Linked DNA regions of Rhinolophus ferrumequinum. The main gene of each other region encodes a partner of the protein of the gene in region 4 in a complex. Links are inferred from orthologs where the notes say so. Each region holds a gene or a part of one and is shown on either strand. Other genes may lie near its edges.

What was found.
Region 1: MEFV (region 4) and CASP8 share a complex: the UniProt entries of both Homo sapiens proteins name them as parts of the AIM2 PANoptosome complex. The link is inferred for Rhinolophus ferrumequinum from reciprocal best matches to the Homo sapiens genes MEFV and CASP8.
Region 2: MEFV (region 4) and ZBP1 share a complex: the UniProt entries of both Homo sapiens proteins name them as parts of the AIM2 PANoptosome complex. The link is inferred for Rhinolophus ferrumequinum from reciprocal best matches to the Homo sapiens genes MEFV and ZBP1.
Region 3: MEFV (region 4) and RIPK3 share a complex: the UniProt entries of both Homo sapiens proteins name them as parts of the AIM2 PANoptosome complex. The link is inferred for Rhinolophus ferrumequinum from reciprocal best matches to the Homo sapiens genes MEFV and RIPK3.

Annotation. Positions count from the first base shown.
Region 1 is NC_046291.1:30,096,050-30,103,818, reverse strand, and holds the start of CASP8 (caspase-8), read left to right. Parts: upstream 1-4,537; 5' UTR 4,538-4,632; intron 4,633-4,978; exon of another isoform or gene 4,979-5,063; intron 5,064-7,769. UniProt on the Homo sapiens protein: Thiol protease that plays a key role in programmed cell death by acting as a molecular switch for apoptosis, necroptosis and pyroptosis, and is required to prevent tissue damage during embryonic development and adulthood.
Region 2 is NC_046306.1:4,310,456-4,318,858, reverse strand, and holds the start of ZBP1 (Z-DNA-binding protein 1), read right to left. Parts: upstream 3,250-8,403; 5' UTR 3,009-3,249; coding exon 2,975-3,008; intron 361-2,974; coding exon 139-360; intron 1-138.
Region 3 is NC_046289.1:74,475,560-74,483,343, reverse strand, and holds the start of RIPK3 (receptor-interacting serine/threonine-protein kinase 3), read left to right. Parts: upstream 1-4,442; 5' UTR 4,443-4,481; intron 4,482-4,573; 5' UTR 4,574-4,625; coding exon 4,626-4,645; intron 4,646-4,844; coding exon 4,845-4,985; intron 4,986-5,097; coding exon 5,098-5,407; intron 5,408-5,870; coding exon 5,871-6,016; intron 6,017-6,141; coding exon 6,142-6,188; intron 6,189-6,396; coding exon 6,397-6,564; intron 6,565-6,673; coding exon 6,674-6,759; intron 6,760-6,998; coding exon 6,999-7,346; intron 7,347-7,465; coding exon 7,466-7,562; intron 7,563-7,784. UniProt on the Homo sapiens protein: Serine/threonine-protein kinase that activates necroptosis and apoptosis, two parallel forms of cell death. Necroptosis, a programmed cell death process in response to death-inducing TNF-alpha family members, is triggered by RIPK3 following activation by ZBP1.
Region 4 is NW_022680357.1:4,725,347-4,733,666, forward strand, and holds the start of MEFV (pyrin), read right to left. Parts: upstream 3,366-8,320; 5' UTR 3,283-3,365; coding exon 3,006-3,282; intron 1,518-3,005; exon of another isoform or gene 1,487-1,517; intron 1-1,486. UniProt on the Homo sapiens protein: Involved in the regulation of innate immunity and the inflammatory response in response to IFNG/IFN-gamma.

The DNA.
Region 1 (7,769 bases), on a different chromosome or scaffold from region 4:
GTTGGAAACAAAACCATTGTTATCTTTTTTAGACACACTTAACTTCTGTCTTCCACGTGAACTTCAGGCCAAAAGTCTCCTATGTATTATTCACCCCCAAAGTGATGTGTTCCCTGCGTTTTACACTATCAACTGCATTATGTGTTTTTACTCATTAAAGTTAAAAATATTTAATTTTATGATTTGTTCTTCCTATGGCATTGTAAACAAATAGATTTGTTTTAAAATGTGTTCCTGTTATGTGGCTAACTCTTTGACTTTGTAATGAGAAAATAGAGAGCATCAGAGCTTCATATACCCATAAACTTCAAAAGAACAAATTGATTCATTTTATATCTCAATGTCTAAAGAGAAAGAAATGCAGCTTTGGTTTTTAGTTAAACTTTAAATGTTCGACCATTCTTGAATTTATTCTTTTAAAGTTTTTAAACTGGATATGCCAGCTTTGTTTTTACATTGGAACTCAAAGTTAATGTTTCTTATCACTTCATTTGAAAACCAGTAATTCATTTACTCTTGCCCCAAACTACACACTAATATTTCTGATATATTAACAAAATAGAATTAAATAGGAGAAGGTGGAGGAACTGAAATTCAGACCACTCCTACTCGTAGCACTAATCAAAACTTAATACGTCCTCATTTATTCAAAGTGAGCTTATTCTGATTTTTGATTGATTTTTAAAACCACAACTTAAGAAATAACAATCAGAGTACCCAAACACTGCCCTTTCCCTTACGGAGAACAGTCTCCAGTAAAAGCTGCATATAACAAGCAATAACTGAATTGAATGGTTGTATACTATTCATGAAACGTTTTTTAAGACTTGTATATGAATTGCTTTTTACAAACTCTGTATAGATTTTAAAAGGCTGGAACTACTCTTACATGGACTAGACTGTATTTTTGACCTATACATATTTTTGTAACTTGAAAAAAAAATTGCCTTGTTTTTTCAAAAAAAAAAAAGCCCTTATGCAGTTATGGAACAGAAAAATACGTTTTTTCCCAGCTAATTTGGTGAGGTGTACATAGCCTTGAATCCACAAGCACAATGCAGTCAGGGCCCTGAGTTCATTGGGTCAAACATTTAAATTTAAAAAATAAACAAATAAAACAAACAAATTGATTGAATTTCTTATCTCTGTGTGCGAAAGACCTATCCAAGCTTAAAAGGAGTTAGAGAAATTGACAAAGGAATATAGAAAAAAATGATATGAAGATGAAGTATTTTGGTATACCTCACTATTGACCAAATAGAGATCAATACTAGAAATAAAATAGATATGCTTGAATATCCAATAATTTAAAAACACACCCACTCTCTCTCTCTCTCTCACAAATAAAGCAAAAGAAAACAACAGAGTTGGAAAAATATATGTGCTAAAAGAAAAATAAAAGCTGAAGAACTCTATATCAAGAATTCTTCTACCCAAAAAATCTGAAAACATCTACACACAAAGACACGTGTGCTCCAATGTTCATTGCAGCTTTGTTTACGGTGGCCAAGACATGGAAACAACCAAAATGTCCTTTGATAGATGATTGGAAAGAAGTTGTGGTATATATACACAAAGGAATATTATTTGGCGGTAAGAAAAGATGATATAGAAACATTTGTGACAACATGGATGGATCTTGAGAATATAATGCTAAGCGAAATAAGTCAGAGAGAAAAAGCAGAGAACCATATGATTTCACTGATAAGTGGTATATAAACCAAAAACAACAAAAGAACAAGACAAACAAATGAGAAACAAGAACTCATAAACACAGACAATAATTTACTGGTTACCAGAGGGTAAGGGGGATGGGGGTGGGAGATGAGGGTAAGGGGGATCAAATATATGGTGATGGAAGGAGAACTGACTCCGGGTGGTAAACACACAATGAGATTTATAGATGATGTAATACAGAATTGTACACCTGAAATCTATGTAATTTTACTAACAATTGTCACCCCAATAAATTTTTTAAAAAAAAGAATTCTTATACATTAAAAGGCCAGTACCCCATATCCATTTTATAAGTGACAAAAATAGATAAACAGTCAATTTATACACAAGAAAATTTCTGTTACTGAAGCAGTTATGGAACATAGAAAAAGACATGTCACCAACTAATTTGGTGAGGTGCACATAGTCCTGAATCCACAAGCACAATGCAGGCAATTTATTTTTAAGAAACTTAGACTGTGTAAGAAATCCTATAATCATCTCAAAAGATTCTGGGGGAAAAATGTTTTTATAATTTAACACCCCTTCCTTATTTTAAAAAAATGCTAGGGAGCTAAGATGGAAGGAAAGTGCTAAAATGGAAAGAAGGTAGATAAAAACATCTACCAGAAACCTAAATTAAAATTCATACTCATTAGGGAGACTTTGTAAGCATTCTCATTAAACTCAAAAACATGATAAAGTTGTCTGTTAGTAATGCTATTGTTCCACACTGTTCTGGGGAACCGCCCCAATTTAATAAGTCAGACAACTTAACAAGTTACTTTCACATGTATATCTGATGTGGGGAGGGCAGCTTACCTGTGAGGTTGACCAGGTAAAGCTTTTGTAATTGCCGATGTGTGGGCCTGAAAGATCACACATAGGATTTTGGCCTGGAGCCAGACTCTCAACTTCATCCTTTCAATTTTCAGAGTCCAAGGGAAATACATAGGCTACCTGATCACGGACCATAATGGGACTCTGAGGGACTGTGTCAAGAACCAGGTAATTAGTCTGAGATCATAATTAATATCACTCCAAGTAGGATGATTAGACCTGCCTGGAGGGTTGAACATAACCATGAGCCCCAAAGATTGCCAGGTCAGGAAAAGAAGTCTGATAGTCCATCTGGGTCTACTTCAGAGATCCAGGAGGCTTTCTATCTAAGCCTGGTGATGGATTGTTTTGTTTTGCCAGCCTCATTGATCCAGGTACAACACAATGTGTCAGCAATTGCACAGACCCCACCTTGGCTGGCCGCTGGAAGTTGAGGGCTATTGCAGGTATTCAACACTACTTGGGCCAAGGAACTGAGGCTGATCTGTTGTGCCTTCAAAGCTAAAGTAGTGCCATGAATGACCTCAGCAAGAGTCAAAGACAGGTTGTCTTTCTAACTGAGGGAACCCAACAGTGGAAATAATTACCTGGAGTTGGTAATGCCCCTAGTAATTCTCCTGAATAACCGGGGTCCCCCTGGTCTTGGAGTTCCCATCTTACTCAGTGTAGTGCAATATGCTCAATGGGTGGGACTGTTTTGAATATTTGGAAGTCTCTTACTAATGCCCCCTATATATGGATTACATGAATGCCCCATATATATGCATTACATTGCTAGGAGGAAGGCAGGTGAAGGCCTGTGTTTACAAAAGAAATAACAATCCAAAGGGGCCCACATAATGCTTAGAGTGTAAGAGTCATTGCTACCATGGGACTCTATCAGCCAGAAGTCACTCCCAGTGGGCAGGGTCCTTGAGTGGAACTGAAAAGTCTGTGTAAAGTGGGGGCAAGTGTAGGGGAGGAGACGGCCTTCGCTACTGAGGTCAAAATCGCCCTGATGGTGGATCCCATTCCCCCTGTTGAGATGTTCCAACTGCCCTGGTCTGACAGGAACAAGTTGACACCTAGGAAGGCGTTTGCTCTTGCATTGTCAGAGTCCAACTGTGGCAGCACATTGGATCTAGAATAATAAGGTTGGGGTCGCTGAGGTACCAGAAAGGTCCATGTTTAGAGAAATGCCCATTTGTAGTATTTAGCAGCAGCACAATCAGCTGTTTATCTGTGGGGTCAGGTAGGGGGTGACACCTCCAGCAGTTTGTCAAATACAGGGCAGGGGCAACTTCCGGAACTGGGTGATGTCAAAGTCACACAGGCTTCTCTGTGGGAGAGAGGTTAGATCGCCACTTCTCCGTTTCCCATGACCAAGCTCACAGGTTCAAAGCTGCTCACATCCCGTCAGTTGGAGGGACTTCTCCCCATCAACTGTGGGCAGTCTCTTCTGTACCATGAGAAAGGATAGCACCTTTCATCCATTACTCAAGGTGGTGAACCCTTATCGTCTGCCTTGGATCCTCTTGTAACTCAATAAAGTCCCAACTAGAATGAATGAATGTCCTAACTAGAATCCTGGAAAAATAGATGTCCTAAATGAAAAAAAGAGCACACCATCATGCACTCCTTAAATACTGAACTGAAAGTGATCTTAGAAGTTTTCTAGATTTTCTAACTTCCTTCTTTTGGAATGTAGAAATTGGACGGAGAGCTAAATTGAACTGCCCAGATTCAAGTCTGGGTAACTTATGCTCTGACCTGTGCTCTCTCCATGCCGTAAAATGGCCTGTCATGCGAGCACGATACAGAAAACCTTGTATTTCATTTTCTGCTTAGAGCCCCACCCTCTCACACTGACTTGCTGAATCTGTTCCGCCTGTGGAAATTCCAGAAGTTGCACTCACAGGAGCGCTAGCAAAATGCCCTTCATTTGACTTTCATTATATTTTTGGAGGCGTTTCTTGGCAAGAACACATTCCAGAAAGAAGCATCTGTATTTACCTTTTGATAAATTTATTTAGAATTTTAAGAAGGAATCAGCTTGTTTCTGGAATTGTCTAGGCTGGTGGCCACTTGGATATCCAGGTAATACTTTTCTTTTAACTTAATATATATAAATTTCAGTTTCTCTTGCAATAAACCAAGAGCACATTTGGGACGTTGAAACTTTCAGGCTGGAGATCCTTCCTCTTGGCTCCATTCTTTCCCCTCAGCTCTGCCTTTTGCCAGGGATGGCTGGATTTCGCAGAATTTCCACTAGCACAATGTATTAATGAATAACAGCCTCGACTTTTGAGCTCCAAACACCCTACTTCCTTAGTCATGGTAACTGATTCTCTCTTTTCTACTCTAAATAATTAACAAGATAAAGAAAAATATCCAGAACAATATAATAGGAAATGCAGGGCAAGAAAATCATGGGGAACCTTACCTTATGGGTTGACCATGCTGGCTTGCATGAAGATCCTGCTTAATGGAGCTCTGGTGTGTAGCAGCTTGTGTGCTGAGTGAGTGTTTCATCAGATTGGGTGGGGACGTGGCTGATTGAGGCGGCTAAAGTGGCAACCTTATCAGTTTAGGTTTTCAGCCTGAGTCTTTCAGTTAATATTCACTTCAAAACAAGAGGCAAATTTTCCCTCAGAAAATCATTTGAAGGCTTTTCACTTTGGAGGTGTGGATTCATGATATTGAAGGAGCTGGAATGCAGAGGAGACGCCATTCTGTGATTGGCAATGTCGTTAACATTTCTTCTTCTGTTCTCTGGCCTGCCTTTTTACTCTCTTAATGGTATCATCTTCTGAACAGAAGCTCTTAATTCTAATACAGCCCAGCTGATCGTTCTTTCCCTTATGGTTAACTCTTTTTGTTTCCTATTTAAGAATCTTTGTTTACTTTAACATCATGAAAATGTTCTCTTAGGTTTTCTTATAAAAGTTTTGTTTCTTTCCTTTTTATATTTAGGTTTATGATCCATCTGGATTTGAATTTTCTGTACGTAGGAGATAAAGGTTTATTTTATTTATTTATTTATTTATTTATTTATTTATTTATTTAAACAGGACTTTATTGGGGAACAGTGTGTACTTACAGGCCTTTTTTCCAAGTCAAGTTGTTGTCCTTTCAATCTTAGTTGTGAAGGGTGCAGCTCAGCTCCAGGTCCAGTTGCCATTACTAGTTGCAGGGGGCGCAGCCCACCATCCCTTGCTGGAGTCGAACAGGCACCTTGTGGTTGAGAGGACGCGCTCCAACTAACTGAGCCAGCAGGGAGCTCAGCGGCAGCTCAGCTCAAGGTGCCATGTTCAATTTTAGTTGCAGGGGGCGCTGTCCACCATCCCTTGCGGGAGTGGAGGAATTGAACTGGAAACCTTGTGGTTGAGAGCCCGCGCTCCAACCAACTGAGCCATCTGGGAGGCAGCTCAGCTCAAGGTACCGTGTTCAATCTTAGTTGCAGGGGACGGAGCCCACTATCCCTTGCGCGACTCGAGGAATTGAACTGGCAACCTTGTGGTTGAGAGCCCACTGACCCATGTGGGAATCGAACTGGCAGCCTTTGGAGTTAGGAGCATGGAGCTCCAACCACCTGAGCCACCTGGCCGGCCCAAGGTTCATTTTATTTTTATTTCTTTTTTAAATTTAATTGGGGGATATTGGGGAACAGTGTTTCTCCAGGCCCCATCAGCTCCAAGTCGTTTTGTCCTTCAATCTAGTTGTGGAGGGAGCAGCTCAGCTCCAAGTCCAGTAGCTGTTTTCAATCTCTAGTTGCAGGAGGCGCAGCACACCATCCCATGCAGGAATTGAACCCGCCACCTTGTTGTTAAGAGCTTACACTCTAACCAGCTAAGCCATCTGGCTGCCCCTCCAGAAGCTCAGCTTTCTGCTCATTGTCTTCAATCTGGTTGTGGAGGGTGCAGGCCACTGGCCCATGTGGAAATTGAACCGGCAACCCTGTTGTTCAGAGTTCGTGCTTTAACCAACTGAGACAGCGGGCCACCCCCAGTTCATTTTATTTTTATATGTTACTATTTATCATAAAGATCATCTTTTTTTTTTCATTTCAATGCAGTGTCATCTTTATCCATTAATCAGGTGATATTATATGTGTGAGAGTTGGTTTTTTTAAGTAACAGACTTTATTTTTTAGACTAGTTTTAGATTCACAGAAAAGTTGAGCAGAAAGTAGAGTTCCCATATCCTCTCTCCTTGAACTTTCCTCTATTATTAACATCTTGCATTAGTCTGGTACATTTGTTGCAATTGATGAACCAATATTAACACATTATTATTATTAGTTAAAGTCAATAGTTTACATTAGAATTTACTGTTTGCATTGTACAGTTGTCCTGTGCTCATGTCATGTGTCCACCATTACAGTGTCATACAGAATACGGTTTCACTGCCCTAAAAATCTCTTGTGTTCCACCTACTTACCCTACCTCTCCAACCTCTGGCAACCACTAATCTTTTTACTGTCTCTGTAGTTTTGCCTTTTCTAGATGTCATATAGTTGGAGTCATATAACACGTAGCCTTTTCAGACTGGCTTCTTTCACTTAGTAATATGTGTTTCAGGCTCCTCCATATCTTTTCACAGCTTGATAGTTCATTTCTTTTTAGTGCTAAATAATATTCTATGGTATGGTTGTACCACAGTTTATTCATCCATTCACCTACTGAAAGACATCTTGGTTGCTTCCAAGTTTTGGCAATTATGAATAAAGCTGCTATAAACGTTCATGTGCAGGATTTTTGTGTGTAGACATAAAATTTCAACTCTTTTGGGTTAAGAGTCTTGGTTTACTGGGAGCATAATTTCTGGATTATATGGTAAAAGTATGTTTAATTTACCAAACTGTCAAAGTGGAGTACCATTTTGCACTCCCACCAGCAATGTGTGAGAGTTTCTGTCACTCCACATTCTCACCAGCATATGGTTTTGTCCGTGTTTTGAATTTTATTGCATCTAGAAGATGTATGGTGATGTTTCAGCATTGTTTTAATTTTCAGTTCCCTAATAACGTGTTGTTGAGCACTTTTTATATGCCTTTTTTGCCATCTGTATATTTTTTTCATGAGGTGTCTGTTCAGATGTTTTACCCACTTTATAAAAGGGGTGTTGTTTTCTAACTGTTGTGTTTTTAAAATTCTTTGTTTGTTTCGGATTTTATCAGATGTGTCTTTTGAAAATATTTTCTCCCAATCTTTGGGTTGTCTCTTCATTCTCTT
Region 2 (8,403 bases), on a different chromosome or scaffold from region 4:
AGGCACGGTGAGGGGACATCACGCACCCCTGAAGGGCAGCGACTGTGTTCAAACGCAGGCCCAAATCCGAGCTTGTCCAGTGCCAGAACTGCTCCTACCTGGTCTGAACCGGCCCCCCCCCCCAGGATGGTGGGTTACCCTGGCTGGGCTGGGCCCCTTCTGCAGGAACCACTTCTCCAGTCCCACCGTCGCCCAAGCACCACGTTCCGGGGCCTACGAGGGCCACCTGCGACTCTGCCTTCAGCCGGTAGATGACTTGGTTGAGTTTCTTCTTGGGCACTTGGCATTCCTTTACCAGCTGGGCAGTCTTCACAGGGGAGCCAGCCTCCCTCAGTACCCGCAGGATGCTTTGCTCAAGGTCTAGGAGAGGCGAGAGGGGCAGAGAGAGAACTGAGGGCCCCACAACGGAGCCTGGGCTGGAGGCTCGGCGGGCAGGGGAAGCTCCGTGAGAGGGATCCAGGGCAGAGGCCTGAGCACACATCTGCCAACACCACCCTCGTTCAGTGAGGGGCACATGGGCTGGTCAGAAATGACTTTGGCCAGACGGCCTGGTGGCCAGACGAGGCACCCAGGCCTTTCGCGGGTCCTCTGCCCCCTGTGAGCAATCCCTGGAGGGCAGGTGGACGCTCAGCTCTCAGGTGTCCTCAAAGGAGAGGGAAGTGGCAGGGGCAGGATGAGGAGAGTGAGGGTAGGAGAGCAGGAGGGAGGGGAGAGAGGGCAGGGCAGTGAGGCGGAGTGACCGCCTGGGAGGCATGCCTCTGTGCCCTGACCCCAGCCTCCGCCTCCCTGCAGAATCCTCCCGGGCTCCCATCCTCATATGGGTGGTGTCACATTCACCCAAGCCAGCAACCTCACAACATTCAGAAACGGATCTCTCTCTCTGATGCCTAATCACAGAGTCCTGGAAATACTGTTTCCGGCTCTCTCGAATCCCTTCTTCTCTTCTCTGCTTCCACCTCCCTATTCTGTGTCATCATCTCTACAGTGACAGCAAGTCCAACTCCAGTCAGGTTCCCTCCAGTCCTCGACTTGGCAGCCAGAACTGGCTCTGCTGACCACTCAGCCTGGTCTTTACTGCCCCCTCAACTTCCTTCCAAGTGCCAACCCATCCGGGCTCTTTTCGGCCCCACTCACCCCTGGGCCTTTTCCCATGCTGTTCCCTGTCCGGAATACGTTTCCCCACCCCTCCCCCTGTCCGATGTCTACTCACCCTGCAGGTCTCACTCAGACACCATCTCCTTTGGGAAGCTGTCCTGGATGCCCTGAGCGGGCGGGGTGTTGTACGTGTGTGTGTCCCCTACAGAATTGCCCCAAGAAGCTCCCATCAGAATTGCCTGGTTTACTGTTGTACCTTCGGTGTCTAGCGCAGTGCCGGGCACACAGTAGATTCTCAGGAAATGGCACGGGAATGAATGAGTGACTGAGTGAATGAGTGAGTGAGTGGATTCATCCACTACTGGGACAGACGTCGGCCCAGGTGACCGATAGCATGTCTGTGTTTTCCCACCTGAGATGAACGACCCTAAGCAGGATCCCTTGAGGCTCAAGGAGGAACCCTCCAAGGGCCCCTGCTCCTCCCGGGCAGGATCCCACAAACCCGGGACAGCTGCTCTGCGGGGAGTGAGAGGACAGGATCCTGTAAGATAGAGCGGCTGTGCGTGGCAGCCCAGCCTGTCATCAGTAAGTGTGTGCCCCCAAGAACCCCAAGGGTAATGCAAAGCAGGGCCCTTCTTGGGTGGATCTGGCTTGCCTTCCAGGGCGGTGGCCATATCCGACCCTTTGCTTTCTGGGGTTTTCTGGGGGGAGGGGCAACTCAGCTGCTGGCTCTACAGCTGGGCGCTGTGGCTTCCCTTTGTGGTCAGAATGCGTTTGTCCTTGCTGCGCGTAGGTGAGGTGCGCTTAGAACACCTGGGACGCCGGTCCCTTCACCCACCACATTCGGCCCTGAGCAGCCACCCCAGCCACCAGAAATCCTCGTCCAACCCACTACACATCTCGCTTTGCCTTGACTTGAAAAGAGTTTTGATTTTTTTTTTTAAGAGTTTTGATTCTTGAAAAGCCTGCCAGGGTGAGCCTCCTCCTTGCCCTCTTCCACCTTCCTGCTGGCAAAGGAGGAGTCAGGTCAGAGACGTGTATGAAGGCCATCCCCCAAGGGCGGGATCCTTCCACAAATCCCGGAGGTTGTGAAATGGAAGAAGTATAAGCAACAAGTTGGTAAGGAGAGGAAAGCCCACTGGGGAAGAAGGAAAATTCAGTTCCTAAGCACCACTGACCAGTCCCCGTGTGTCCGTCCCCCACGGGGAAGTAGGACAGGAACCTGAGCCATACCCTGCCAGCACCCCTCCCCAGCACACCCTGTTTTCCTCATTCTTGTTCTCTGATGGCTGGTTTCCTGGGTTTGAGCCCCAGCTCTGCCACCTACTAGATGTGTGAACTCTCTATGCCTCAGTTTCTCCATCTGTGAGGTGGGGATAATAGCAGCTCCTTCAAAACTTGTGGTGAGGATTAAATGAGCTAATGATAACAACACCCCACCCCCACCTCCACCCCAAACCACCCTCAGCCCACAGCCCATAAGCCCCTAGTGGTGGCCGGAGAATGCAGCAATGGTTCACCACCTGGCTGAGCACAGGGTTCACCCCTGCTGGTATCCTCCTGGGAGTGTTATCTGAGGAAGAACACAACGGGGGAAATGTGCACTTCTAATCAAAGCAATTTCTGCTCTTTCTGGAAATGAGTGTGAAGCCAGGTGCTTAGCCCTGTCGTCAGCCTGATGCTCTGAGTCCTTTCACCTCACAGGGCTTGGTGATCTCGTGGGAAATGGAAACACCTTTGTACTTACCGCTGAGGTTATTGCAAAATGCATGGCACGTGTGTTGCTATCATTGCTGCCATCTGGGACAAGCGAAGGAGCCAGAGAGAGAAGTGCCAGTCCCACCCAGATTCCCGCTGTTCCTTAGAAAGAAGAAAGTACCTGTCTCACTTGGGTCCACAGGGGCCTCGGCCATGCTGACAGCAGTTGCTGGAAATCCCGGGTGGCTTGGCAGGGGGACTGGGGGACAGCTGTAGGCTTCTGCACTGTGGCCTTGAGAGAGTGAGCCAGGTGGGGCTGGGTGTCCTCGTGTGGTGGAGCCCGGTGCTTCTGGCAGCTGTGAAGGGAGGCCAGCTCCAACCAGGCAGGTGTCAGCTCTTCACATCACGGAAACAGAAGCCTAGCCTGCCCACATTTATCAGCTTTGTGGAGGAAAAGAAAAATGAAACGGGTGTGTGTGGCTTTTGAAAGAAACAAAACCGAAAGCTGTATTGAGCAAGAGGAAGCCTCTGACTAGACTTTGGTGGGGTGAGATGAGCTTGGCAAGACTAGAGCATCCCCTGGGGCCGGGGGTTTTCCCGAACTGCCGGGTGCCCATTGATGCCCACCCTGACCCCGCCCCCCAACACACAGGCCAAGATTCCTGGGTGGGTGCCTGGAGATTGTGTGCGTATCAAAATGACAGCTGTCCTTAATGAGCAGCTACTGTGTGTTTTCCAATCTCATGTGCCCTTCTGGCTCACCTACCGAGTAAAGACTAGTACTGGCCTCTTTTCTCAGAGGGGAAACCGAGGCTTAGATTGGTGAGGTCACTTGTCCAAGGCCACAGATTCTTGGGTCCTAACCCAGCTCCCCACCCATTTACTGGCTGTGTGACCTTGGGTGAGTTATTTAACCTCTCTGTGCCCCCATTTACTCATCTGTAAAACTAGTAAAAGCAGCTACCTGAGTGAGGAGGCCGTGGTGAGGATGAAGGGGTTAATCCAGCTGAGAAATCAGAGCCACCAGTGCCATCTACAGTCATAAGCACAGTTGGCACCCACATGTTTCTGGAAAAAGGACCCATTGCTTTTCATAAATTTTCAAACGGGCCGGTGACCCTCAAGCAGTTCAGGGCCACTGTTGTCTTTCAGGTAATAGGAGGGGAAACAGGCCTATACAGAGGCCTGTGTGAGGTAGCCCAAGCGGGTGAAGAACTCAGCCTCGGAAGTCCCTGGGCTCAGAGTCCCAGTGCAGTAGCCTAGGCGGGCTCGTGGGTTTCCGCGTTCCCTCCGCGGACCCGTGGCTCAGCATTTCTGCAAAGGGAGGGCCTAGGAACAGCGATAGCAGCGAGGAAATAAATGGGTGCTGGACGCTCGTCTCCAAGCTGCCTTTGCTAAGCAAGCAGGGAAAGTCCTGATACCCAGTCCACAGCCAGACCAGTTAAATCTGAATCTCTGGCGGTTCAGGTGATGTTATCCGCCTGGCGGGTGAGGTTGGGGAAGTCTTGGTCAACACAATAAAAACAGGAAACCACAATAATGCTTTTGTATCTGTCTTATGTAAAACCGAAGAAGCGTGTATCTCCATATGAATTGACAATATTAATTTTAAATGCGAGGTAGTTGCAGGTGTTGAGGAAGACTGTGGAGCCGCCCATCCTTGGGGAGGGGGCTCCCGCTGAGCCTCCCAGTGGACTTTGGGAGGCGCCGTGCTCGGACTGGCCACCAGGTGGCGCCCACTCACCCCGGCCCACCTCTGCCTGGTCCTCTCTGGCTGAGGGGGGACCTCCCACCTATCACCCTCCCCACCCCCGGGAAACCCCGACTCCGTCTGGCCCGACACCCGGCTTCTCCCCCTTTCTCCCTGGCCGCTCCTGCTCAGGCTTCTTGCTTTGTTCCCTGCGTGCCGCTGATCTCTTTGTGTGGAAGGTGCCTGGCCTGGTGGCTTGCAGGTCAGGCTGAGGGACTCAAGCTTGATCCTGAGGGTCAGTTTGGTTTCTGGAAGTACCACTTGTGCTTCAGCAGTGAAGGCTGGCACCCTCTTGGCCATCTGGGCAGTGTTTGGAGGGTCCCTTCCTGTCCCCAGTGTCTCTCTTTCCTATCCTGAAACCACGCGGAGCGCTGGCTGTCTGAGTGGTCCTTAGGGACCTGCAGCAGGAACCACTGTGCTGGAAAGGCCAAGTACCCCGGGAGGTGCCACCTGGACAAAGATGCTGCCTCACCTTCTTCTCCAGGGCAGGTCTGATCTGAGCTGCCACCTGCTCCTCCCTAGCTGTGGGTCACTACCTCTCTGAGCCTCAGTTTCTTTCACTATAAAACTGAGATGGTAAATAAGAAAAAGCATATCTATATGACACTTAGTTGGTGCTCACAAAATTTGCGTAAGTTAGAAAATGTGACACATGTTTACAATACAACTTTAGGCCCTAGACAAAAAAAGTAAATAAATAAAAAATAAAGAGGGAGAGAAGAAAAAATACAATTTAATGTGGGTGGGTTGCCCCTCCTGGAGCATTCCACAGCTGTCTGGAATTCATGGAAGCCATGAACCTGCTGAGAGCGTCTCACCACACTGGGTGGGACCCGCGCTTTTAAAGATTTAGATTATCTTGTGTTCTCTTCTCAATTTAAGAGATTTTCAAGGTAATTTTGACTATAAGGATTGTTTTTAACCCAAATATCAGTGGCTTAAACAGTCTAGATGCTTCTTTCTTTCTCCTCTAACAGCCTGGTAGGCGGTCCAGGTTTGGCCTGGCACACCACGGGATTGAGACCCAGGCACTTCTATTTTGTTGCTCTGCCATTTATGGCCCTCACTCGCAGGTTGGCCTTATGCTCTAGGATGGCTGCTCAAGCTCCAGCCATCACATCTGCATTCCTTCCAGCAGGAGGGAGGAAAAGGGAAAAGGACAGGTATCTCCCCTTTAAGAATAGTTGCAAGTTGCACACACATTCCATTAGCTTCATGTCCCGGCAAGGGAGGCTGGGGAAGATGGTCGTTATTCTGGATCACAAGGCACCCAGCTAAAATTGGTGGTTTATTACTTAAAAAATAGGGGACAACAGATATTGGAGGAGACCTGGCTGTCCCTGCCATTGCAAGGCTCTGTTGTTCCCGCCAGAGACGGAGTGAGGACATCTTCTTTGTGCCTTTAGGTATGGTCGTTCACTGGGGCCTATGTATTGAGCAGGTCCAAGGCTGAGTTCAGAAGCACTTTCCAGGCTCTGTCCAGTGTGGAAGGCAAAAGGGGAGAGGAAGGGAGGTGAGGATGCTGGTGCCTCGTACTCCGTCTGGGAAGGAGCTCAAAGGCCACAGAGGTTCCAAGATGGCATCCCTGTTTGCTGGAGCCCACATCTCTTTTTGCTTTGGAATGCACTCTCCATTTTCATAGCTTGTGTTTTTCTGGAAACCATTAGAAGTCTCCGCCCAAACCAGATGATAATTGCACGTTACTGATCTTAAGTCTTTAAATTTCTCTCTCTCCCTTTTAAAAGAGAGATATTTTTACTGCACATTGTATTGGCAAACCGCAGTCTCCGTTCTACCAGGCAGCCTGGATGTTATTTTTGACATTTCCTCTGTGAATTCACCTCAGGGGTGGGAGTGGAAGGTCAGAAGGCACCAAATGTGGATAATAATGTGTCTTTGTCAGGGGCAAAGGTCAAAGAACCAGAGGTGGCCAGAGAGAGACAGGGTCAAGGTTGCAAGAGCCATCGGCAGAGGGGGTGAAACAGTCCAAGCGAAGGTGCTGCGTGGAAGGCAGCAGACTCCGCGGCAGCCCCAGCAGGACCTGCCTGGCGCTGTTCACCACCTTCAAGGCAGAACTCGGCCGGCCTCCATGGGTCACCGTGTCCACTAGAGTCAGACAGACCTAGGGCTCTGGTCCTGGCACCCCACCTTTAAGCTCTGTGTCTGGAGTGAGTCCCTACTCTTTCTGAGCCCAGTTTCTCCCTCTGAAAAGCTTCTTCCTCAGAACAGAACCTACACCATGGGGTTGTTGCAAAGGTTAGAAGAGATCAGGTGCCAAAGGTGCTAGCAGAGCACTGAGCATGTAGTACGTGTGCAATAAACAGGAACTAGTCTTATCATCATTATGTGGTCTCCAGCGGTGCCTCTCCGAGGTGACAGAGCAGTCCCATTTATTCATCTGGTCATTCACCAAATAATTCTTTGTGCCTTCTTTATCTCAGGGCGCAAGCTGGGGTCCGTGGACGGCAGAGGCGGGGAGCAGGGGAACGGCCCGCTCCCTGGTTCCTGGCTCCCCTTCCACTCCGGCTTCAGAAGAGGCCACACTGCCCAATCCAGGGATTGGCAGGTGGCTTAGGCTGAGTCCCCGATCCACCACCATTCCCTGTAGCTCTGGCCAGTAAAGGGGACCTGGGTGGGTGGAAGGTGAGTTGGGGAGATGGACAGGGGCCAGAGCATTGAAGGCTGTGGTAGAAACTTGAAATTTTCCCCAGGGGCAAAGGAAAGGAGGACTTTCATCCATGGAGAGATGGGGATTTGGAAAGTGACCCTGTGTGCAGGTGGCAGGTGGCAGGAGATGGTCCTGAAAGGGAGAGGGGACATGGCCAGCCCTGGGCAGTTCTCACACTCTTCCTCCCCCACCAATTCTTTTTGGAAAGCCCTTCTCCACATCCCGACAAATATATTGAAATCAATTCACATCTAACTTTTATTTTTATGATCAAATGATTTTGTGATAATTTTGTTTGCTGAATTATTTACCTACAAGAAATTCATTTAATTACAATTGACCAAACATTCTCCACTGAGTGTCCAGGATTCTTGGGAATTCTTGCAAAGTGGGACCATTTCACCTATAAATTTGTTTCAAATATAATTAAGTGTAATGAAATTTTTATGATGACTAAACGGAACAGTTAATGAACTTGACATAATATTAGGTTTTTAGACTTTTAATTAAACATTCATTGATTCTGATTTTGCAATGCTTTTTTTTCCTCCCCTATATGTTGGAACTCAAACATTTTCAAAGGCATCTGGAAGCCTGAGGTGCTAAGACTTCTATGCCCAGAAGGTAAAATGAGGAAATGAGGGCACACACCCCATAAGACACAGGAGTCCCTCAGGTTGTGGCCGGGAGTAAGTCTGGGTGGCTGTTTCAGAGCTTGGGGTAGGGGTTGGGGCAAGAGCAAAACACTTTTACATTTTCACTTGTTACTTCTTTTCATTTTAAATGGGTACCCTACTCTAAAATTCAAAGCAAGGATGTTTCCTGAAGGACGTCGTGACTGAACAGCAATTGACATTTATTTAGAGCTTACTATGGACCCTCTTTCCTGAGGTTTACATTATTTCATAGACTCATTCAGACAATCTTATAAGATAGGACAGTAATACTGAATCTGCGTTTAATAGAGAAGAAGCTGGCGTTCAGAGAGGTTACTAAGTAAACTGGTCAAGTTGGCGGAGCTCCTGAGTGGAAGACATGAGGGTCCAACCCAGGCCCTCAGGCTCCGGAAGGGAAGCTCTTAGCACCTATCTCCATTGCCACGAGCAGGTATGTTGCCATGTCCACAGGGTAAGAAGCAGTACTTTCTCTGCTGGCCTGTTCTGTGCTATCTCGTATGAATTTTCAGGACTGT
Region 3 (7,784 bases), on a different chromosome or scaffold from region 4:
ATCCCTCACACAGTGATAACCCCCTCCCCCATCTACTACTCCTCTGACATCGCACACAGCCGTTACATTTCCACTGTCTCTATTCTTAATGCTGTACTCCACTTCTTGTAAATATATATATATATATATATATATATATATTTTTTTTTTATAACTATAATTATAGTTGACATTCATTATTGTTCAGCTTCAGCTTCAGGTGTACAATGCAGTGATCAGGCATCTCCATCATCCCTGAGGTGGTGTCCAGCAGATCCTTTTTTAAATCAGTGAGCCATCCCCTTTCTTTCTAGGGGTTTAATATGATGCTAATTGTTTTTGTGGTTGAACTTAGTGGAAACTGCTATTCCTTCTCGCATTTACATGTCCCATCTGGGGTAAGTTTTCTTTATCTTCTTGGTGCACAGCCACCAGAAATTTCTTTAGACTGTTAGTGGTAAACTCAGTTTTCATTTATTTAAAAATGTATTTTTATAAAACTTTTGCTCTTGAAGAAAATAACTCTTCTGGGTATATGATTCTTTGTTTACAGATTTTCCCCCTTTTTAAAAACACTTTGAATCATTTCCAGTCTCTTCTGGTTTCCAGTATGGCTGTCGAGAAGTGTGATGCCAGTTTAGTTATGTTCATTTTTAGATGGTCTATGTTTTCTCTGTAGCCTTTGAGATTGTTTCTTTGTCGTGATTGTTCTGCAGTTTCACTAAGATGTATCTAGATGTGTATTTCTTCATATTTATCCTTCTTGGTATAAATAGTGATTCTTATATTCCTGGATTCTTTCTTGCCTTTCATCAACTTTTGAAAACTATCAGCCACTTTCTCCTCAAATATTTCTTGGCTCGCATTTTTTTTCCTCTTCTCTCCTTCTGGGAATCCAATTTGCTAATTGTTGGACTGCCTCAGTCTTTGCCTCTTAATTCTTCTATCTGCTTGTCTCTCTTTCTGTATCCTGGGGAACTTCTTCAGGTCCGTTCTAGCACGCTACTTCTCTCTTCAGCTGTATCTTCTGTTTGACCAAGCATTGCAATTTTAATTTTAATAGTTATATACAAATTTTTATTTTTTGTTGTTCTATTTTTTCCCTAAATCTATCTGGGCATTTTTTTTTAATACTCTCTTATGACTTATTCACTTTTTCTACTACATCTTTTATTCTTTAAACATTTCATGATAGCTTCTTTAGATTCTTCATCTGATTATTCCAAATTCTGAAGTCCTTAAAGATCTAAAACTGTTGATTATTGTTGCTGCTGACTCTCCTTCATAGTTATTTCAATCCTTGTATATTTAGTAATTTTTTGGTGAGTTTATATTTGGGTGAATTTAATCCAGAAGACTGGATTGAGGATGCTTTCCTCTAAGGCACTCAGTTTGCTTCTGCTGGACTCCAGGGGACATTAATAATCTGGGCCACTTAAAAGTTTCAGCTTATGGTTTATTCGATCAAAGGGAAAGAGAACAGGTCGCACATGGAAACTAACACTTTTATTCATTTTAACATCTAGTGCTACAGCCTAGACAGATTTCCTTGTAGGTTCCCTCCGCAAGCAAGTAGACTTTTTTCTTTCCAGTGAGAAAAACTGACTCTTTGATGGTCCCAGCTTTTCGGGGATGAGGGTGTCTCATATTTAGCTCTTCCATCTTTCTAGGCCCTAAGGCTTATGCTCTGGTTCTCCCCTAATTTCCCATACCCTTATCCAGTCCCCAAAGCTCTAGGTTTCTAGTTAGTTGAACTCTCTGCTTACTCACTATATACCTTTTGTTTTGTATTGTCTTATTTTGTTGATTTCAGGGGATGCCCTTGGGAGATTACCTTTATTTTAAGGGAGCTCACTAAGGAACTTTTAACATATGTGTTTGTTGTGTTTTATATAGCATTTAAGTATTCTGCTATGGGAGGCTTTTAAGAACTCAGTCATACTACTGGAAAAGAATTTTTAAAACAAACAGAAATGTGATTATGTGGTACATACGAGTTGTTTTATAACCCGTTTTTTTTCCATTTGATATACGATCAACACCTGTCATATAAATAAATATAGATCAAGAGCATCCTTTTAACAGCTACATAGTCTTCCATTGAATAATTCACTCAGTCTTTTTTATTATTGGATTTTAGGGTTCTATTTTTTACTATTTTAAATAACATTTCAGTTAATATCTTTATAACTAAATTTTTGTATACATTGTGATCTTCTGTCTTCTTTAACTGTTTATAAAAGTAATATATGCTAGTATAAAATATTCAAACACTATGGAAAATGAAAATTCTCCATAATCCTTTTTGCCATCACCTTAATACCATTTGGTCTATGAGTAAAATCTCTTAATCAAACAACAGATGAGAATTAGTTAAGGCTAGACTATCCGAGAAGAAAGACCACATCCTCTGCCCCCACCCCCACAACTAAGGATAGGGAACCAGAGTGTGTACTGGTGGGCTGAAGATAAGCAAAGATAATCAGGAGCAGAGAACTGAAGGAATGACAGACACCCAAATAGACTCCAAAAGCCTGGGATAGCTGGAGTCAGGGGCACCAGGCCTCAGAAAAGTTCAGAGCTTCAAAAATCTAGGAATCAACTTTGCCTTGCCAGTGCCAGCCTAGCAGAAGCAGAGGGTCTTCTCAGGCACTCACTGCAGACTCACATCCCTGCTTCCCCTTCTTCTAAAGGGGTTTGGTTTATTTTGAGTCAGAAAGCAGGACAGGCTCTGACTGTCCCCAACCCTGTGCTTCATAGTGGGTTACCCCTGATTCTCCGGATCTTGTCCCAATCTAAAGAAATCCAACCATAGAAACACTCCTCTAACACGTTTCAAGCGGAGCCCCAATGTTGAGCCCAGAGTCTTCTACCAAAGGAGAATCACGATAGGAATGGCTGACATCTCTGATGGCTCTTAGCTCCTGACTAGACTTTTTTTGAGGACCTGCTGCACTTGCCTTTATAGTCTGTGAGATACCACCACATCTCTGTAATAAAGTCTACTTCAGATGGATTCTGTCAACCGTGCTGGTGAGAGCCCCTAACCCATAAAGAAGCCCAAGCTCCTCTTTCCTCCCAGTGAGTGTAGAGCTCCAGCAGGGATGGTCAGAGATTTAAGGAAGCCCCAGAAGTTTCGGTTGTTTATTTATTAATTCAATTCAACAAATATTTATGGGTGCCTACCATAAATAGGCTTTTAAACAGACTACAATCGAAGAGTTCCCTAAATACCTCCAAAATCGCATGGATGGACTCCACCAGAATTCATGAGTTGGAGTCTAGAGTTCCTAGCTGCTCTAAAAAACACAGTTAACTGCTGGCCACTTGTTCTCCAACCAGCACAGTCCATGGAATACCGGACAGAATAAAAAGTGCACACCAAGAGGAGACCTTCCAGTGACAGCTGGCACACGACCCGCAGGGTTGGGTCTCCCCATGAAGGACTGAGTGCCCAGGGTTAGCTGTATCTAGCTCCCACAACCTCCAGCCATGGTCAGGCCTTGCACGGGTAAAATAACCTTTGTCTACCTTAAATCCTTAAGGTTCCCTAAGCTCCTGAGTTCTAAAAGGCCCTTGTCCAGAGCATGTGCTTGTGGGGAATGTATATCAACCAAGGAATTTGCATGGAGGAATTGGCATGGGGGAGAGAGCAAGGAGGGCCTGAGGTGTTCCCACTGCACATACACCGTGTCAGCAACCCCCTGGCTGGGCCAGTCATCTTGCTGATCCTATTGCCCTGGGAGTGGGTTTTGCCCTTGACAGCAGACAAGTCACTACCAATGCCAGGGCTTGCCTCAGCAAGAGCAGCTGTCAGGAGGAACTGGGCAGGAATACAGACAGGGACCCTTCATCACACCGTCGGACGCTTTACACCTTCCTCAGCCACCTTCACCACTAGCTGAATGGTACAGCCCTGAAGCCTATGTGAAAATAGGAAAGTTTACGGTGATGATAAGAAAGCCAGGCACTGAAGTCAGTTCCTCACTGGCTTGGGCGAGGTAAACTCTCAGTGCCTCCTTCTCCTCACCCACAAAAAAGTCATAAAAGCAGTACTTATGCCCTTAGGGTCGATGTGAGAGTTATATAAACTCATATATGTACCTGGCACATGACAAGCTTTACGGGAGTGTTAGCTATAATCTTAGGGCAGTTGGGGGAGAACTGAGCCCCAGTACCGTGCAATCCTCCTCAGCACCGTCGCATCCCTAGCCCGGGCCCGGCAGGTAGTGGAGCTGGGATTGCTGTGGGAAGAGGGAGAGGCGCCGGCGGGAGAAGGGAGTTGATTATGAGTTCCTGCAAGGTGAGGACTTCTGCCGGGACACCCTAAGTGCCCAGTGACATCTAACGGGCTGTGGCATGCAGCAGGTGCTTTAGGAAATAACTAGTTAGAAAAGATAAGCACTAAGCTTCCGTTCGGCCTACCCCCCCCCCGCCCCCCCCCGCCCCTTTGGGGCGGGACTGTAGAGGCGCCTGACGGACAAGGAAGTTGTTCAGCGCTGGTAGGGAGAGAGACCCGGGAAGCGGGAAGCGGAATCGGTGAGGTGGCCTAGAGATTGACCTGTCTCCCCACCCCCAACCCTCTCTGCCACAGACTCCACTCGGAGAAGTCACTCCATCCATGTGGACTCACACCTTCCAGACTGATGTCTAGCCACGAGTTATGGTGAGTAGAGAATGGGACACACAGGATGCCCCTCCGGCTAGCTCAGGGACTGCTTTGTGCCCTGCCAAGCCTGGGGGACAGTGGGGCCCACAGGGGAGGCTGTGGATTGTACCGACCCTGCTGAGTCATGGGGGTCACAGCAGAGAACAGTGCAGACTTGAAGCCATGGCCAGCTGGTGAATGAGGTCCCCTCTCCCAGGCCCAGTGGTGCCCCAGCCCCCCTGGTGTCCATCGAGGAATTAAAGAACCCGAAGTACATTGGTGAAGGTGGGTTTGGCACAGTGTTCTGCGCACAACACAAGTCGTGGGGTATTGATGTGGCGGTCAAGATCGTGAACTCGTGAGTGCCCCAGCTGCATGCAGGCAGGCCACTGTGCCGCAGGTCCTGAATGGGGAAGGGAGGGATCTGCCCAGCAGCAGAGCAGTGACTCCAACTCTCTCCTGGAGTATAGGAAGGTGATATGCAGGGAGGTAAAGGCCATGGCAAGTCTGCGTAACCAGCATGTGCTGCTCCTGCTGGGCGTCACTGAGAAGCTGGAGTGGGACAACTTGTCTGGGCCAGCTCTGGTGACCCCATTCATGGAGAATGGTTCCCTGGTAGAGCTGCTGCAGCCCCAGTGCCCTCGGCCCTGGCCGTTCCTCTGCCGCCTGCTGCAGGAGTTGGTGCTCGGGATGTGTTACCTGCACAGCCTGAACCCTGTGCTTCTGCACCGGGACCTGAAGCTCTCCAACGTCCTGCTGGACGCAGACCTACACGTCAAGGTCAGCTCATCCGCACCCCAGCCCAGTCTCTAAACAAGGTCATGCCCCAGAGCTGCTCCAGCCCCACCCATTGGACAAAGCACCTGCTGCAGCCCTGCCTACTGAATACCCTCAGCATTTCCCTCTGCACACAGGGCTGCCCAAATGTCAAGGCCCACCCAGCAGCCTTAGCCTCTGCCATACCAAGTGATAGAGCCCTGACTGACACAGTTACTTCTACTGTGGGGCTCACCCCACTAGGCCCTCCACAAAGACCCATGGCTGACAGCCCAGGAGACTCAGCCCTTAACCCAGTCCAATGGAGAGGGGACCCAGGCCTCCAAACCAAGGACCTCACTGATCCTACCATGCCCCTAACCCTCCACACCCCCTTTACATGGCTAGGCCTGCACCTTCTCGGGGAAAGAAGGGGATGCCTGGCCCTGTCCACCCCTTTCCTTCTCCTTTGCCCTTCCCTTTGCAGCTGGCAGATTTTGGCCTGTCCACATTTCTGGGAGGCTCAAGGTCAACAGCAGGATCTGGGAAATCAGGGGGCACCCTAGCCTACTTAGCCCCAGAACTGTTGGCTGATGTAAACCGGAAGGCCTCTACGGCCAGTGATGTCTACAGGTAAGGTACCCACACCAAACACACATCCCAATTTCTGCACCTCTCTGGGCCCTTCCAGAGGGAGGTATATGGGAGAGGAGTCTTGTCAGCAGTTGGGCCAGGCCTCAGTTTTGTGTCTCCTGCAGCTTCGGGATCCTATTGTGGGAAGTGCTAGCTGGAAAAGAAGCTGAAAGTAAGGCTTTAAGCAGACTCTGGGATCCTTAACCCCAGGTGCCCTCCTCCTGAAAGTCCCCAAACCCTCTTCTTCCTGCTTACTTGCTCAGACTGTCCTATTCCCTCCTCACCTTTTCTTGGACTGCACTCCCGCCACTTTCCATGATGGAGCAGGTGGCCCCTCATACCCTGAATGCTTTGTCTTCATGTCTCCCACCGCACCCCAGTAGTGCCCCAGATATCGCTGATGCAGAAAGCCGTGTGTGAGAGGCAGAACCGGCCCCCACTGACTGAGCTGCCCCAGCCCAGCCCTGAGACTCCTGGCTTAGAAGAACTGACGCAGTTAATGCAGGACTGCTGCAGCAATGAGCCCAAGGACAGGCCTTCATTCCAAGGTGAGCTGGCCATTTAGCTGGTAGCTGGGGCAGGCCTGGATCTGTCAGCAGGGTCTTTGCCTGGGAAAGAAGTTTCGCTCACCTGCCACCCACTCTGCTTTCTCTCCAGACTGCAGACGACATACTGAGAAAGCCCTCCACATGGTACAGAATACAGGTGTAACTGGTACAGAGATGGATGTTGCAGTGTCCACAGTGAGTGCCCAACACCAACCCACACACAAAGAGCCGGGCGGAGATAGCACCAGATGGCTCCTGTGGCCCCCCAGTGACTCCCCACTGACCACTGTTCTTTATGCCTTGAACCTCATCCCCACTCTCTCCACCCCACCCCTGAATTCCCAGGCAACAGATTATGGACCAAGAGACTCTTTCCTTGGGTTTACTCTGTCTCTCCCACCTCCACACCCAGCAAGGTCCCCCTGTCCTTGCAGGTGAAGAAGTTCCTGTCTGAGCACAGGAGGTTTTCTGCCTCTGAGCCAGGCCCAGGAGGGACAGAAATGGATGGCCCTAGGGAAACCCCAGAAAGCCTTGATTCCATGGTCTCTGAGATGCTAAACCTGAATCTGGAAGGTTTGCCCAGCTCTGTTTCTGAAAAATGTATAAACCTTCCTAAGAAGATAGAGGCACAGGGAGAACAGACTCAGCATGCCCAAACAGCAAGGATGTCTTCTGATTCAACAGTCCAACCTCCCCCAAATCTGGAGACCTCACTTTTCAGAAACCAGAAGCCCAGCCCCACCTCGACTTGGCCACCAGGTGCTAGACCCCAAGGGAATCAGGTGAGACTAGGGGATGCAAATCCTGTCCCCTTGCCAGGGAAACTTTGGGATCAAGGGGTTATGCCATGGAAACAGGCCCCAGGACAGAGAGCCTGAGAGTGCTGTGCTGTTGTTTACAGGGGGCTGGGAGAGGTGGCACCAACGGGCCTTCCAGGGAGCCAGAGCCAAATCCAATACCGAATCCTCCCAGGGAGTGGGGGCCAAATCCAATACCAGGTACCCACTCTCCATTCCTTCCTTTCCTCTGCTCAATTCTTCCACCAGCTTCATCCTCTAGTCCATATACAGATCGAGGGTACCTTGGGTAAGGAGAGAAAGAGAAAGGGCTAGCAGCCACCTACCTCAGCCTTCTCACGTCATAAATGAAGAAACTGACACTCACTGGGATTGGATCCCGCTGAGATTACAGCAAAGCCTGGATTTGCCCCTGTACCTTCT
Region 4 (8,320 bases):
TTACTCTGCCATAAAAACAAGGAAATTTTAACCATTTGCAACAACATGGATGGACCTACAGGATATTATGCTAAGTGAAGTAAGTCAGACTGAGAAAGACAAATGCCATATGATCTCACTTATATGCAGAATCTAAAGAACAAAATAAATGAACAAAACAAATATAGCTACAGAGAACAAACTGATGTTTGCTAGATGGGAGGGGGGTTGGGGAGATGGGTGAGAAAGTTGAAGGGATTAGGAAGTACAATTTGGTAGTCACAAAATAGTCACAGTGATGTGAAATACAGTATGGGGAACAGTCAATAATGTAAGATGGGTACCAGACTTATTGGGATCACTTCATAAATTACATAAATGTCTAACCACTGCACTGAACTAATACAAAATAATGAAACTAATATAAAGTAATATTGAATGTCAATTATAATTAAAAAATATATGTATAGTCATGGGATGTAAAATACAGCATAGGGAATATAGTTAATGGTATTGTAATAGCCATGTACGACGTCACATGGGTAGTAGACTTGTTGGGGTAATCACTTTGTAAGGGGTGTAAATATCTAATCATTATGTTGTTTTGTACACCAGAAACTAATTAAAAAATTCAATAAAGAAGGATCAACAGATGGAAACTAGACTTTTGGTGATGAGCACACTGTAGTGTATATAGGTATCAAATTATAATGCTGTACACTTGAAACATGATGTTATTAACCAATGTTACTTCAATTTCAAAATAAATAAACAAAATGCTCTGGGAAAACAAAATTCAATTACAGTAGTAAACAAGGGGCAGAATAGTTGTATTATCCATGGCAAAATAGTGGTAATCACTGAAGGTGGGTGATGGGGAGACACTTCATAGTGCCCTTTACTCTTGAGTATGTTTGAAAATCCAATTAAAAGTTTTAAAGAAAAAAAAGAAAACCTTCCACACAGAAAGGGACAGTAAGGATGTGTACCTGTCTCAATCTGGCATCAGATATAGTAGAAAAAGAAAATCTCTCCTGAAGATTTGTAAACACAAGTGCAAATTCACATTATTCATACAGTCCAAAAAAACTTCAAGAGATTAATTTCATTTGAAGAGGGTCCTACGCAGCATTGTCCCCAGGTAATTAGAGTGAGCAAATGGACCTTTCTCTGGAAAACTCAACTTCAAGCAAGGCCTCAAAGAATTCCCACACTGCTGTATGATATGTTGGAAAGTGTTAAGAGAGTAAATCCTAAGAGTTCTCTCACTGTCGGAAAAGATGTGTGTTAGCTGAACCTATGTGGTAATCATTTCACAATATGTGTAAATCAAACCATCATGCTGTACGCCTTGAACTTATATAGTGATGTGTCAATTTTTTTCTTAATAAAACTGGGGAAAAAAGAACTAAGGTGTTTGATTGGTGCAAAAATTTGAAATCGGGTTATGAAGGACAGTTAAAACTTCAGAAACTAAATTATTTCTGCTTTTTTTTCCTTTTGGTTTCAGGAGGTGCAGAAAATCCTAATTCACATAGGTAAGTAAGTGTAAATGGTAATTTTTTTGAAAAAACAGCTTGCTTTGAAATTTCAGGATACTGGTTAATTAAACAGAAATGACAGGAAAGTCTTAATATTATCGAAGGTCTACATAATAAGGAGTTCAAGTACAGCACGAACTGTCACACTGGTGGCCTTCAGTATTTTAAAATTTGGTTAATGATACATTTTAATACGAATTTATTAGCTTTTTTAAGTTAAAAAAGTAGTAACATTTGCATCAAGTATTTGCTAACATTCTAGAGAATCCCTGAAATATCTTCCTGGGACATAATTTTAAAACCACTACTCTAACAAAGAAATGAAGATAACCTATTATTAGCACCTTAATATTTGGTTTGAAGAAACTTGTATTAAAATTACTTTAAGAAAAAGACAAAACACAAAAAATAAAGAAGAATAAAATTACTTTAAAGTTGTTTAAAACACTTTGCTGTTGGCTTTGTGTTTTAGGAAAACATAAGTTACCAAAACTAGCTCAAGAACTGATGAGAAACCCTGGATGGGCTAATAACCAGATTTTAAAACATGAAAAAGTAATTTAAAAATTCTATTCATCAAATTATTACAGACTCAGATTAGAGTTGGTTTAATCTTATTGCTCTTTGAAAGAACAGAGAATTTTTGTTATTTAAACTGTTCTACCACATTTAAACACGTGAAAAGCATTTCTGATGTATTGTCAAAGTTTAGAAATAGAAGAAAAATTCAGACACCAAAGAATATTTTTTTCAACTGATCATGTATTACCCCCCACCCCCAACCTCAAAGTCTTTAAAAGCAGAAATTGAGTAGGCCACATTTCTTTGATCACAATGTAATAAAATCAGAAAGTACAGCAAAAGGGCAGCAGAAGAACCAGGAGAGGGAAGGAAGAAGGGATAAAAAGAAAAGATGAGAGAAAGAGGGAGAGAGGGAAGGAGAGAAAGAAAAAGGGATAAGAGGTAAGGAGGGAGGTTAGGAGGGAGGAAGGAAAAGAAAAGAAAGGAGAAAGTTCTTTTGAGAATTCTAAAATGCCTTTGTGAAATGTGTTAAAGAGCTCAAAACAAATTAGGTGGGTAACAATGTGAAGATTACCTGTCAACCCTATTAATGTGATTGGTTAGGAAGCCCTTTTGCTTACCCAGATACTTGTTTGTACACAAGTATTAATCATAAATGAAGTGAGGAATTCTGTACAAACAGGCATCTAGCTCCTGCCTCTCCCGATCCTTCCCAGAGTCAGAATTTCAACCGTTTTTAAAAAATGTTTTTTAAGCCATTGGGAGGCTTAGCTTTACTAACCCGTCTCCAAAGACCAGAGCGGGGAAAGCGACTTGCTTGGTCAAAATCACTAGCGTCATGGTTGATCTGGGACTCCTAACCCCCAAGTCAAAGTGCGTGGTCTGAACAGGCACTTGTTCTTGCACCTTCCACCTCATCCCAGCCGTTACAATGGTAGAGGAGGGGTCATGGGGCCTACTTACCTTGGTCAATCGCCCTGTGGAGCTCCTCTGCCAGGAGATGCTGGTTGATGGCTTTCAGAACCTGCAGGGTCAGCTGCACAGCACACTTCTCCCCATAGTGAGAGACCAACAGAGAGGCCAGCTTCACTTGTCTGGCTGTCTGAAGCTGGCCCCTGGGTATCCGGGGGTGCTCCTTCTCCAGGCTGGTATTCTGCAGCTTGAACTTGAACTTCTCAAAGTCGTAAGGCACCAGCTCCTCCAGTGAGTGTAAGAGATGGTCACTGGGGGTCTTGGCCATGGTGTTGACCAGAAGAGGCTGGAGCCAGCTATCTGGCTTCTGGGAGGAGAAGAAGCCCTCTGTCCTGGAGCCCGGGGGTAAGTGAGAAGAGGCAGCTTGTGAAATAACGGAAAAGGCACAGGAAATGCTCTGTGATTTGGTGGAACTGAGGAGTGTCACTGCTGGCTTGTGTTCTCTTGCAGATTTTTGTAGCTTTTCCAGCTGGGAGGGCTCAATGCCTTCCCTCCAATGCCCCAGCTCTCATCTCCAAAGGCTGGACTGTAGAGTGGTGGGTAAGTCTGTGAGGGGAGTCTGGGATTGGATTCCGGTCTTTTTATCCTTGGGCAGGCAGTCAGATGCTTCCCTCTCTCCTCCTCCCAGAATTTGGGGGTGAGGGGTGGGAACAGAGCCCCTGGTCCCACATTGGAGAGGACCATGTCAGCCCCTTTGGCCAACTGTTCTCTGCCAGAATATTGGGATTTAATTCACACTTCATAGCCAATGGTGAGAAGGGCAGGGGGCGGGGTGGGGGGAGCAGCAAATACAGCCCTGCAAGCTTTGTGGTTCCCTGCCCAAGAAGGCAAGCAAGGCCAGAAGGGCACTGCCAAGAGAGAAGCCCTGGTGTTGCCCCTGTTGATGCAGTTCCAGTTGTCTGCTACTTCCAGCAAGGGCCTCATAATGCCATGCCTGGGACCACCATCCTGATCTGTTTGTTTCCAGAGCTGACTGTGCCCTGGCTTCCTGTGAACCTACCTGGGAAAAGATACTCATCCATACACATTTACTGAACACATTCTGGACACCATGCCAGGATGCTGGAGAAACAAGGTGGAAAAGGTATAGACATCCTTCAGAGCTCACAGCCCAGTGTAGGGCCCCAGAGGGGGCTCCAAAGCTCATGGAAGTTGTATTTGGGTAAGCTGACTTCTTCCTCAGAGAACTGCTTCTGTCTTTCTTTATACTCTGATTTTCCCCCCAACTTTTTGTTTTGAGAAATTTCAAACCTACAGAAAAGTTGGGAACATAGTAGTACAATGAACACTTATATACCTTTTACCTAGATTAACCAACTCTTTGCATTTTACAGTATTTGGTGATAGTCTTTTCTCCTTCCCTCTCCTTCCCTCCCCGCCCCATTCTTTCAGGCACACACTGTTTTTTCTGAACCATTTGGTATGAATTGAAAATACTATCACAAATCACTCCAAATACCCTAGGTGCCATAAATACTAAGAACAAGGATACAAATATATTACTTTAAATAATCAGAATACAGTAATCACACTCAGGAAATTTAATGTTGTTAAATCAAATTTCCCCAATTGTCCTTGACAGCTTTTTTTTTTTTCAATACAGGGTCCAATCAGAGATCATGCGTTGCTTTTAGTTATTATGTCTCCGTAGTCTCTTTTCATCTAGAACACTTTTACACTTCCCCTGCCTTTTCCTTAATCCTTTCCAGACAAGTTTTTTGAAAAGTCCATTCCAAGCAGAATGTCCCTCAATTTAGCTTTGTGTTATTGTTTCCTCATTATTAGCTTGAGGGTATATCTAACACATGCTAAGGTCTCTCCATTATAAAAGGACATTTTTTTCTCTGTACTTAATTAACATGATTGTGTAGAAATGTCTGATTCTCTCATAATATTTCACCGCATGGTTTTAGCTTCTATTGAGGATCCTTTCTTAAATCAATTGCTACAATGGTGGTTACCAAATGGTGATATTTCTATCACTTAGTTGATATCATTTGCATATCCTGGTTTAAACTTTATATTTCTCATGACATTTTTGGCTTACAGATGTTTTGTTGGTAATACAGTTACCCTCTAACAGTGCTTGCTCTGAGCCAGGCACCACTTGCTTTATATCCATTATCTCCTAGAGTTTCTGCAGCTCCCTTCAGGACAGAATTCATCATCCCCATTTACACCCAGGATTAGTAGCTTAGCGACTTGCCCAGAGCCAGGATTCAAACCTACTGTTAACCACTTTGCAATATTGTCTCCCTGCATAATAATTTCTTATTTTACTATGCATCACTAACTATGGATGTCATTTTTTCAGCTCTCCAGTGAGGATCAAAATGGGCCATACTGACAACTCCCACAAGTCAGTGACAACATTCTGATGGTTGGCCGAACAAACAGCCCTATGTGTGACCAGCCTGGGATCAAGACTTCAATGAGTTCTGGTTGGTTGAATTTATCTTATTGTCCAATTGTGCTTTGTATTTTACAGAGATTCAGTGCTTTTGGTTTAATAGCTGATATAATACCCAGTTCTCTGGATCCTGCTGAGAAAATACCCGCAACCCACATCTTCCCTAAAAAAAGGGATGAACCCAAATACACATTTCTTATGCAAATGTTGGATTGTGAAATTCTAAGGTTGAGCTAGAAGGGTGTTGACTGGGTATCTCTGGGACCAGAACCTGTATCAAAGTCCGGAATGCAACGGCACAGCCACCTCCCAGGCACCCTCCCACTGCTGACGCAGAAACGATGAAATTGTGCAATGACATGCAGTGTCTTTCGTGTTCTTGGGTCCCTGAGGCCTGTCTTGACTACCTAGGAAACTCCTCTAAACTGAGACTAAAGCACTATGCCACAAGTGGATAGGAAACTGGACTTTCCAGTCTACAGCAGGCTGTTTTGCAAGTGCAGTGACATCTTTTGTAATGGGCAATTCGGAGAAAGAGACTTCTTGGAGAGCAGTGTTTTGATGCTACTAAGTCCTTTCTAGGTGTAGAGAGTCTTACAAAACTCTAATTTTTTTGAGATTCCAGTGAGTTTTTAAAATGAAGAAATGTGAAAATAGGATGATAGCTATTGGGATGCATTTTAAATCTTTAACAATTAAAGTGGAGTATTGATGAACTCCTATTTCTTGTTCCTCTGTGATTGTATGAGTGCCCTTATTTGGGGATAACATGATAAATCTAAATCCAGTGCAACTGGTACAAAGGTTCCAACCTCTGCTTTTATGCCCACGTAATACACAGCTGCGTCACCCTGGCCTTTACTCCATTTCTGGTCATCAAGGGTTTCACTTTTTACTGCATTCATTTTTGTATCATTTGGGATTTTTAAATCAATATGTATTACTATTTATAATAAGAAAAAAGATAGTTGTAAGAAAGTACTTTATAATTAGCTTAGCCTCTAAGGTGCAATAATTCCTGTCCACCCAACTATCACGATAAAGGATGTCTATAAAGTAGTATTTAAATATAATACATATCTGCTATTGAGAAAATGGGAAGAATTGCTGGGAAAATCATGGAAGAGTTCCTGTGTTAATCTGGAGTTGAAAATAGTGGATCCCATTGTGACATGAACTCTCCCTTGCCCCCCAGTATGTTGAATTTTAAGGGAGAAATCTGAGACTTTGAAGAGCTAACCACTAAAGTTCTAAATGAATTTTCAGGCAATGAACCTCCCACTGAGAAACATACTTGTAGCTGTGCTGAGGGCAAACGGGGTTCTGGGACAACGTGCAACCTCCTAATCAGAATGGAGACAGAGGGAGAGGAAGCCAGCTTCCCAACGTGGGATGCAAAGGGTGACCTTGACCTGTTGAGGTAGTCCAGTAATGGGATCTGAATAGGTCCCCAATGAGAACTTCATTTGCAGTATGGTAATATTAAGCAAGAGGCTTTGTAAGCTATAAAGTGTTTGTACACATTATTCCGATTGTTAACTCTAGGTGGTCAGTGGTTGTTTATTTCACTCTTTAAATTTTTCTGTGTATTTAAACATTTTAAAAACTGAAAAAGTTTTGTTCTACCACTATTTATAAGGGACCCTCTAGGAGGCAGACTTTGGGCATACAGCTCCTGACCGCCAAAGGCTTACAGATCAGTGAAGGAGGAAAACAATTGCCTGGAAGGCAACTGCTCTCCCCCACACCCTTTGAGTTTCGGTTTACATAATCCTGTCCCCACTCTCACACCTCCCGGTCCTTTCACCCCCAGCAGAGCTGACCCTCTCCTGCCCCGTGCTTCTGTCTTTCCCGCTCACCACCTCTTATTGAAACTGTTCAGTTTGGAAGCCGCACAAAGTTGTGGGGGGAAATACGGGACTCCAAGATCTAGGACCCCTGTGACCTGGTCAAGTTACTCGACTTCTTTGAGCGTGCTTTCTGTCAAATGGGTTGTTGGGGAATTCAATGAGAAAGAAAGTATGCAAAAGTGCCTGGCACCGTGGGGTAAGTGTCAACTTCATTCTTTGGTATTCCAGCGCCTGACACGTCATGGGCCGTGTCGGTGAAGGTGGACGGAAGATTTCTGCCTCCAGGACCTCCTCCGCCCACACCCTGCGGTTCCCGTCTCGGGAACAGGAAGGCGCCGTCTTGGCGGGTGTCACGCACGGTCGGCAGTATCTCCCTGGGGCAACAGCTCGGAGGGGAAGTGGCTTGTGGCAGGAAGGGGAAGAGCGGCGGGAGGATAAATAAGTGTCAGCGCAGCGCCCCGACAGACAGGCCGGCGCCGGGGTCCAGGCCCGCTCGGCACTCTTATCTCCGCGGGGCCTCGGGACATGCTCGAGATGAGGGAAGCCCCGAGAGGCGCGACGCACCCCCCGCGCCCGCTCCTGCCACCCCACCCGGCCCCACGACTGCCTTGGTCTCGCGCGCCGATTGTACAAAAGCGCTGGCGACTCTTTGAAGTACATCTCCGGGTTTCCGGGAGTTTGTGAACCAATCAGAGGACGGGTGGGCGGGCTCTCTGGGAGTCTCGCGGCTGCGCGGCGCCGCGCTGCTGTGGATGGGGTTGGCAGCCCCCAGCAGCTTGCCCCTGTTTCTCGCCAGAGCTGCGGAGCGCCCGGCGCGGAGGAGGCGCGGTTTTCGCGGCTGGTATCCGACCACAACCCCGGGAAGTGGAGTAGACGTGGTCCCCGGCTGCTCTCTCCTGGGCTTCGGCGCCTCTGGGTTGCGCTGAGGCCCTTGATCCTGCAAAGCGCTCCCACCCTTATGCACCTGTAGACCTTGTTCACTCACGTTTAGGGCAAGTATCTACCGAGTGCCTAGTATGTACCACTTAACTGTGTTAGAAGTGAGG